Linked DNA regions of Caenorhabditis elegans. The protein of the gene in region 1 interacts with the protein of each later gene in a pairwise test. Each region holds a gene or a part of one and is shown in the gene's direction. Other genes may lie near its edges.

Region 1 (4,673 bases):
CTGAGCTGACTGAAAAAAAATTAAATTTTTGCCGAAATTTCTGAGATTTCTCCCCACTTTCATCGATAATCTGCAAATATTCACTGCTTTTTTGTTAATCATTGATACATCGCAAGCGTTGAAAAATTCTGGTGCAAAGCGGAACACGCAGAACTTTGAACGGTTCACTGTTTTGAAGAAGAGCTGGAAAAAAACAAAAAAATAATTTTTTAGCCGAAATTTGACTTTTGACTCACCCCGCCTTCGGAAACCTCAATTAACACGTCTTCAGAGATTTTGCTCAGCGCTGCGATGGATCTTGACATAACTGAAAGAAAAATAAATAAATAATCCGGCTAAAACCCAGAAAAAGTCACTTTTAAGATTGGATTGGACCACAAATTGGGCGCCTTTCATATCTTCATGCTGCCTTTCCCTTGTTATTGATGACGATGGATTATCTGTATAATTTTCATGAATGGCTTGCATTTGATTTGAGATTTCCCTGAAATTTCAAGGTTTTTAAAGAGAAAAATTGAAATTCAGAATAAAATTTTGAATAAAAAAGTTTTCCTCTCGAAGTACACGGACGAGAATCCCCCGTCGCTAGGCCATGCGCTGCGGACTCCTCTCGAACGATTTTTTATTTTTTATTTTGATTTGTTTTGTGATTTCTGACATTTTCCCTTCTTTCCCGCGGCGCATGCATTCTCGTGTTTCCACAAGAGAACCGGTATCCCGTGCAGAACATGAAAAGACGAAAAGAAAAACCAGCGATGCGTCATATATCGTTCTTTTTATCCGTCAGGAGGTACGCTGGACATGATAAATGGAGTTTTGTTCCAAACTATTCGGTGTCATGTGCTTTTTTCCTCTTCATTGCTCACACATATCCGCTTCTTCTTCTTCTTCTTCTACCCCGCTTTTCCAAAAAAAACGCAATAAATATTCTTTATTCCTCAGGCTAAAGGTTTCCTGGAGCATCAAAAATCTCAAATTTCGTGGAAAAATTTTTTAGATTTCAGGTTTTAGGCTTACTCAAGTTGTGGAATTTCTGAATTTCAGACTAATTTGGGTATTTTAAATCGAAATCATTATTCCTAAATTCGGTAATTAAAGTCGATTTTATATAATTTAATCGTAGTACTTTTGAGCAGGGCCCTGCAGGGGTGGGTTGCCGTTCGGCAAATTGTTTTGTCGACAAATTCGGCAAATCGGCAAACTGCTGATTTGCCGGATATCAATTTTCCGGAAGTTTTTAAAGGGATTATTTTATAAGTCGGAAGCACTTAAAACTGCCTTTTTGAAATGTTTTCCCGTTTTCTATAGATATTTTCATAGAATTTCCTTAATTTTCAAAATAGATGTAGGAACATTCATAGGATGCGTACAATCTTGCCGATAAAATTGAAATTCTGAAATTTCCAAAAAAAAATGTGCAAAACCACAATTTGACGAAAATTTTAGGCAAATTGGCAATTTGCCGGTTTGCCGATTTGCCGGAATTTTTTACCCCTGCTTTTGACCATTCAAAATTTTCAAATTAAATACCTTAAAATCCCATTAACATAAAAAAAAATGGCATTCCACTTCAAGTACCTCTACGCTGTAAACTGTGGTTGTAAACTAACCGGACCCCCATCCAAATCGATTAAACCACCCCTTCTCCTTTCACATCTGCGTCTCTATTGATATGAATCACTCTCTCATCCAAAATGCCCAACAATCATTTTGTTCCATTGTTTGTTTGAATGTGCCATGTCCACTCTTTGGGTCTCTGTTTGCTTTTCCAATACACTCCTTCTGGATATATATTTCATTTTTGTTTCGTTTAGGCATGACCTCCATCACATCTGCATTTCTTCTTCTTCTCCTCTTTGTGGCAGGTAATATACATAGTTTAAAAAAAATTAATACATCGAAAAAGCAAATCCAATTTATACAACAATATCACATGCATAACTATACAAAAATTTCTCACAAAAAATATCATAGAAAAGAGACCATCTTCAAGTAATTTTGCGGGAAATTATTTGCTGTAACTTTTTACTAGGTATTTCATTTTTAATTCATTAACATTATACAACTTATTCTTGAAGCCGAAACTCTCTATCCTAAAACATGATTTTAAAAGCCACTAATTTCTGAATCGTATTCAAATTTCGCGATTTCAATTTGGATCTTCATAGGCATTTTTAAAGTTGTATTTAATTACAACACGTCATTTTTTCAATTTTACAAGCTAAGAACCTGTAATCTTAATCATCACCGTCTATGTATGCGTATATACGATTTTTAATTACGCAACATTACACGAACGGAGTCTCTATACAAACATAGCGGCTATTTTATGACACATCATCGTGAATTGAGAGATGATACATTAAAAAGTGAACTCTGGGAATCTAGAATCTAGTTTGGATTGTTTTTTGAATTACTCATCATAGTGAATTCATGTGAGTCATGTAAAAAATTGAATGAACAATTGTAAAAGTCAATCAATGGAATGGAATTTGCTTCCGAAAAATGAATGAATACTGCCGAATTAAAAAAGAACATCTAGTAGTTGAAAAATTAATTTAAAAAAACTGAAAACATTTAGAAAATTATTTAAAAAGTATATTTTCTAGCATTTAAAGCAAAAATTCTTCTCCGTCTTTATTTTCTGATTAGTGCCTATTAACGAAATAAACACATAAAACAATTAATACATTCTAGTTAAAATAAATCTAAAATTCCAAAATGTTCAGTTGCCTGCCGATCAGTTCCATGCCTGGACGGATGTACGTGTGAATTGTCAGAACATGATCCAGTGATCAGATGTGATGGCGTTGGTCTCAATCGTTTCCCATTGCCCCATTCATCACCACTTCGCGGTTTCCATTTCCTGGCACTCACTTGCAATGACATTGACACAATTCCGGCGATTAGCATGATCAAAGCATCATTCCCAGATCTTCAGGGAATTGATGTGCAGGGAAATACTCGGTTGAATTGCTCCGATTTGGTGCATTTGCACAAGGATATTCCAGTTTTGTCGGATTGTGATAATGAGAAGCCGTTGCAGTGTGATAATCTTGATAAGGTTCGCGAAAAAGATTTGAAAAATAGAAAAAATAACAGTACTACCAAATTTCAGAGAAAAGCGAAAATTTTCGATTTTTGGTTTTTTTTTCTAATTATGGGAAATCAGGGAAAATAAGACATTTTCTTCCGAAAAATCAACAAAAAAATGTACAAAATTATACGAAAAATTTTGATTTTTCGATATTTTCAAAAAAAAAATTGAAGAACCGATTTTTCATGGCACAACATTATTTTTTGCGGTATAATATAAAAACGATTAAAAAAAACGAAAAACGCGAAAAATCGAATTTTTCCAGAATTTTCAATAAATGACACTCGGAATAGTTACTAAAGTGCAAATTGGTTTAAAATATTTACATTTTCCTAAAAAATTAAAAATTGGATTTTTTTCCAGAAACTTGAATTTTCTACTTAAAATTTGCAATTTTTCCTTTACATTTTACCGAAAATTTGAAAGTTTTCAACAAAACATGATTTTTTTAACCTAAAATTGAATTTTTCACCTGAAAATTCTAACGTTTTCTCAAAAATAAATTTTTCCGACAAATTTAAATTTTTATAAGCTAAAATTGGAGTTTTCCCTGAAAATTTGAAATACCTTAAACAAGTTTTCTTGGCTGAAAATTATTTTTTTTTAATAATAAAAATAGTATTAAAATTGTGTGCTCCTCTCGGAAAATATCACAATTTTTCATATCAAAGATCCAATACCTTAACCTTTTTCAGAACTGTGACTGGAAGTGCCGTACACTGACAAAACTCAAAGAAATGTGGGCTCAATTCAAGGATCTTGTCAACCGAAAAGCCAAAGAATGGCAAGCTGAGGAGACGATCGAGGCGGCGAAAAGCTGGTTCAGTGCTCAATTCAAAAAGTTCAAAATCGCGATTGGCGAGCTCTCCGACTAATTTTTAATTGAAAAATTGTACATATTTTCCTATAACCCTTCCTTCCCAAATTTCTCTTTCCCCATTGGCCAAAACGATTCGCATAATTTGAAAATTGTTGTATCTCATTGTTCTCCCCCAGCCCTTACTTAAGAGATTACGGTAAAAAACAGTATTCACATAAATTTCTATGAATAAAAAACTCATTTTTAAAAAAAATTTTACCAATCGATCAACAAAAATTATAACAAAAAAAAACGAAAAAATTGTCTAAAAAAGTTCCTAAATACTATATTTAACGGTTCGAGAGCGAAGATAATTGTAGTACTCGTCCATATGATCCCAACCATTTTTCTGTGGATGACGTTGTTTTTGCTGTGGAGCCGGACCTTCTTCTAGACGGACGAAAATGTGAATGTATCGGTATCGAATGGTGTTCCAGTTGTCGTGAGCGTGACGGCGGGCTCCTGAAAAAAAGTGACTTGAAAGATATATTTTCCAGAAAACTCATTGAGAACAAATTTAAATTTCTTCTGATTTTTTAATTCTGCAAAAAAATCAGAGAAACTGCCGAATGAATGTTCTAGATCCGATATTTTTGCCTTTTTCTGGCTAAATTAATCAATAAAAATATTATTATTATTATTTTGATATTTGATTTGAAATAATAAATTATTGTTCGTTCGATTTTCAGAGATATTTCTTCGTAAAGAAAACTTGAA
Region 2 (4,736 bases), on another chromosome or scaffold:
ATGACCGAGAATTTGCTCGCCGAACGTCACGCCCTCCGATGGGTTTTTCTGTACGAGTTCCCCCAAATCTGCAATTGCAACGAAACTCGTCGTAACATGTGTGCAGTGTTAGGCAAGAACTCTGTCACCTATAATACCATGAAGTTTTGGTTCGAAAAGTTCACGAAAAAGAACTACGATCTCGATGATAAACCAAGATAAGATCGCTCTCGTTTGAATATCGACGAGGATATTTCGAGAGCCCTGGAAGATGATCCAAGAGCAACGAACCGCGAACTTTCTGCGACTCTCAAGCATCCCCAAAAAACCATCATCAACCATCTCCACGAAACCGGAAGGGTAGAAAAGTTCGGTCAACTCGTTCCTCACAATTTGCCCGATTCTCAGAAAAATTGTTTTGTGACCTCTCTCTTTCGCTGCTCACTAGGAAACGAACAACGGACTGGGTTAAGGATATCATTACTGGAAATGATAAATGGGTATTGTATGTTAGCCATACCAGGAAAAAAGAGTGGGTCCCGGTCGAGGAAACCGCGACACCTGACCTCAAATTAGAACTTCACGGAAAAAGTGCTTCTCTCAATTGGGCGGGACAGTAAGGGTGTCATTTCCAGAGAGCTTCTTCCAGACTTTGCTACAATCAACGCTGGCCTATACAGCATTTAATTGGAAAAGATGGTCCATGCTCATCGATTACATCGCCCTAGAGGATCAAAGTTGTTGCTGCTCCATGACAACGCAAGACCGCATACAACTTTTAAGACCCGCCAGAAGCTCCAGACAGTCGGAATCCAAATTTTGTCTTACCCATCGTATTCGCCGGGCTTGGCTCCTACTGACTACCATCTGTTCCGCTCACTCCAGAATCACCTTGCCGGGCAGAAGTTTCATGATCGAAAGGTCGTCGAAACGGGGTTGGACGACTTCTTTGCCTCCTAATCGCAGGAGTTCTAGGCGGAGGGTACTGTTCAACTTCCGTTGTGTTGGCAAGAAGTCATAGGCATTAATGGTAAATATATTACCCATTGAATCTTGTTCGCTTTGAAAAAATACTACTTCCAAAAAAAATCAAAATTTTGCAAAGACTTTTCGACCAACCTAATATATGTAAGTTCATCTTTTGATAATTGCCCTCGGCGAAAATTTTCGAAAATTGTCTGCCAAATGCTCGGTTTCCTATCATATTGCGCAATTTTACGTAACTTTTACAAGTACATATAAAAGATTTGCAAGCCATCTATCCGTCAATACGCAGCAGCAGCATTTCCTTGATCTTTTGGGCTTTTGAGCTTTAAGTGCTCTTTGAGTTTTTTTTTAAATTGAAAGCTTTGAATAGAGAAAAGAAAACTTTATGAGAAAAAAATTAGAGCCAATAAAAAAAATAAAAAATTCCTGCCTGTGTGCCTACCAGGCAACCGCAGTAAAAAAGGCGGAGGCCACCTTTACGGCATGTTACGCCTGCCTTAATGGCACAAAGACAGAGAGTTTTGTAACTGCAAAAAGTTATTTATTTGAATAAATTCTTTTTGGTCAACTCTATTTTTTTACAGTAACTTGAATATTTCAGAGATGTCAAAATATTTGACATGGATCTATTAAAAATGATGACTTTTGCAAATATATAGTCATCATAATACCATCAACTTTCACAGTTCACATATTTCTTATCAATTGGAATGGTTAGTACGTACAACTGATAATAATAGTTTCGTTTGCATATACATAATTTCCAATTCTTCTTTTCGGTTTATTTTTGATACTTGTTAAATGATTACTATAACTTTTAAAATAAAAAATTAAACTCTGAAATTCATTTTAATTTCAGCTTTAAAAATGTTGTTACGGATACTCACATTTCTTGCTGTTTGCCAAGTGACTACCTCTCACAAAATCCTGATGTTCTCGCCAACTGCAAGCAAGTCACATATGATCTCACAGGGAAGAATCGCAGATGAGTTGGCGAATGCTGGACACGAGGTTGTGAATTTCGAGCCAGATTTTTTGAATTTAACAGACAAATTTGTGCCATGCAAAAAGTGTAGAAGATGGCCAGTTACTGGATTGAATAACTATAAGTTCAAGAAAATTCAAAATGGTGAGTATTTAAAAATTGATTTTTCACTGATGTTTCTCGAATTACCCAGTAACTTCAAGAAGAGCAAAACTAATTTTTTGTTGAATTTTGTGCCGCCTTAAAAGTTTCGGTAAATCATTTGACAAGTTTCACACAAAAATTCAGTCTTTTGGAATATTTTGAGTGATAAAACGCTAAATAATCTGTACTTATTAGGTACTAAAAATTTATTTTCAGGGTTATCTGGAGACGTATTCCAACAATCTTCAATTTGGAGCAAAATTTTCAATACGGATAGTGATCCATATCAGGATGAATACACAAATATGTGCGAAGGTATGCTCTAAACTGAATTCAAATTTTACTGTATTTTCCGGTTCAGAAATGGTAACGAACAAAGAACTTATCGAAAAACTGAAAAAAGAAAAGTTCGATGCATATTTCGGTGAGCAGATTCATTTGTGTGGAATGGGGTTGGCTCATCTTATAGGCATCAAGCACAGGTTTTGGATTGCCAGGTATTGGTTTTGGTTTTTTAAACTAAAAAGAACATTAAGATTTTCAGTTGCACAATGAGCGTTAGTATGCGTGATAGTCTCGGAATTCCAACGCCGTCCAGCTTGATACCCTTCATGTCAACATTGGACGCTACCCCGGCTCCATTCTGGCAAAGAGCCAAGAACTTTGTGCTCCAAATGGCACATATTAGAGACGAATATAGGGATGTTGTACTGACAAACGATATGTTTAAAAAGAACTTTGGGTAAGAATTTGGGAGATAATTACGTTTAATTAAATAATTTCTACAGATCTGACTTCCCATGTGTCGAATTCTTGGCAAAAACTTCTGATCTTATATTTGTTTCAACAGATGAACTTTTGGAAATTCAAGCTCCCACTCTTTCGAATGTTGTACACATCGGAGGGCTTGGCTTGTCAAGTGAAGGAGGTGGCTTGGACGAGGTTAGTAGAATCTTTCAAACTTTCTTAAAGGCTTCATATATTCAGAAATTTGTGAAAATTATGGAAAAAGGAAAAGGAGTGATTTTATTCTCATTGGGGACAATTGCCAACACTACTAATCTACCACCAACTATCATGGAAAACTTAATGAAGATCACTCAAAAATTCAAAGATTATGAGTTCATAATTAAAGTTGACAAGTTTGATAGAGTAAGAAAATTCCTATAAATCCAAGAAAACTCCCATTTACTCATTTTCAGAGAAGTTTTGATCTTGCTGAGGGACTCTCAAATGTCCTCGTCGTGGATTGGGTTCCCCAAACCGCAGTTCTTGCTCATCCAAGACTGAAAGCATTCATCACACATGCTGGTTACAACAGTTTGATGGAATCTGCCTATGCAGGTGTTCCAGTTATTCTTATTCCATTTATGTTTGATCAACCAAGAAATGGACGGTCTGTCGAGAGAAAAGGATGGGGAATTCTGAGAGATAGGTTCCAGTTGATTAAAGATCCAGATGCGATTGAGGGAGCTATCAAGGAGATTCTCGTTAATCCAACGTTAGTTTTGAACACTTTTTTGAGCACGTCTAAAATTTGTGCTTTACGCTAAAATACTAGAAAAATCGTGCTGATAATTGCTGATAGTTGCGGTAGATTAAATTAATTCTAGTTCCGCCTAGGTGTGTGCGGCAAATTTGCCAAAATTGCCGAATTCACCTAGCTCGCCTAAATTTGAGAATTGCCGCACACCCCTGGTTCCGCCGAAGCTAGTTTTTTGAAGGCCATTTTTGAGGACCATATTTAAAAGAACGTGTATTTCATCCATTTTTTCTAGAAACTTCAAAAATAAAACAATCACCTCTAATTTCATTTTCAGATACCAAGAAAAAGCAAACCGTCTGAAAAAGTTGATGCGTAGCAAGCCTCAATCGGCATCTGAAAGACTGGTTAAAATGACAAATTGGGTGCTGGAAAACGACGGTGTAGAAGAATTGCAATACGAGGGAAAACATATGGACTTTTTCACATTTTACAATCTTGATATCATTATTACTGCAGCTTCGATCCCAGTTTTAATTTTTATTGTTCTTCGAATTTCAAACATTAGTATTATTACGAGTAGCCCAAAAAATAAGAAAGATTAGGTAAATTATTGTTAATTAATAAATGGTAAAAAAAATAAAACAACTTTAAACATCATTTCGAAAAGTTCAAAAGGCATTTTTGAAGGGATCCGAATTCCGAAATCAAGTTTTGTGGAGTGTCCGTTGTGAGAATTACACCATTCTCAATTACAACGACTCTGAAAATAAAGTTTCTTCTGGAGCATATCTAGTTATTGTTTAAAAAATTATGAAGTTTCTAGTTTTCTCAAAAAAAATATTTGATTAAAGATACTCAAAATGGTCTAAAGTGCTGAATTACAATAAAATAAAAATTTAAAAATAGTGAAAGAAAAGATATTCTAGGGTGCGCGGCAATCGGAAATTTCCGGCAATCAGCAATTTCAGCAATTGCAGGTTTTGGAAATTTCCGGCAATCCGAAATTTCAGCAATTGCCGGCTTTGGAAATTTCCGGCCATCGACAATTTCGGCAATTGCCGGTTTTGGAAATTTTTGGCAATTGCCGAAACTGCCGAAATTGCCGAAAATTCGAATGCCGCACGGCAATTGCCGTGCACCCCTGAAACTAGTTGC

The links.
Region 2: the proteins of lron-10 (region 1) and ugt-48 interact in a two-hybrid assay, tested with the Caenorhabditis elegans proteins (one large-scale study listed by BioGRID).

Annotation. Positions count from the first base shown.
Region 1 is NC_003281.10:10,617,352-10,622,024, reverse strand, and holds lron-10 (eLRR (extracellular Leucine-Rich Repeat) ONly), read left to right. Parts: upstream 1-1,814; 5' UTR 1,815-1,816; coding exon 1,817-1,865; intron 1,866-2,729; coding exon 2,730-3,064; intron 3,065-3,792; coding exon 3,793-3,972; 3' UTR 3,973-4,159; downstream 4,160-4,673. Other genes in the region: Cell cycle checkpoint protein hpr-9, read right to left, coding at 1-9, 58-183, 237-307, 357-468; mrpl-22 (Large ribosomal subunit protein uL22m), read right to left, coding at 4,234-4,418.
Region 2 is NC_003283.11:5,545,152-5,549,887, reverse strand, and holds ugt-48 (Putative UDP-glucuronosyltransferase ugt-48), read left to right. Parts: upstream 1-1,825; 5' UTR 1,826-1,833; coding exon 1,834-2,095; intron 2,096-2,311; coding exon 2,312-2,410; intron 2,411-2,456; coding exon 2,457-2,592; intron 2,593-2,639; coding exon 2,640-2,837; intron 2,838-2,883; coding exon 2,884-3,037; intron 3,038-3,082; coding exon 3,083-3,247; intron 3,248-3,297; coding exon 3,298-3,596; intron 3,597-3,915; coding exon 3,916-4,183; 3' UTR 4,184-4,219; downstream 4,220-4,736. Other genes in the region: cft-1 (Cystic Fibrosis Transmembrane conductance regulator homolog), read right to left, coding at 4,236-4,341.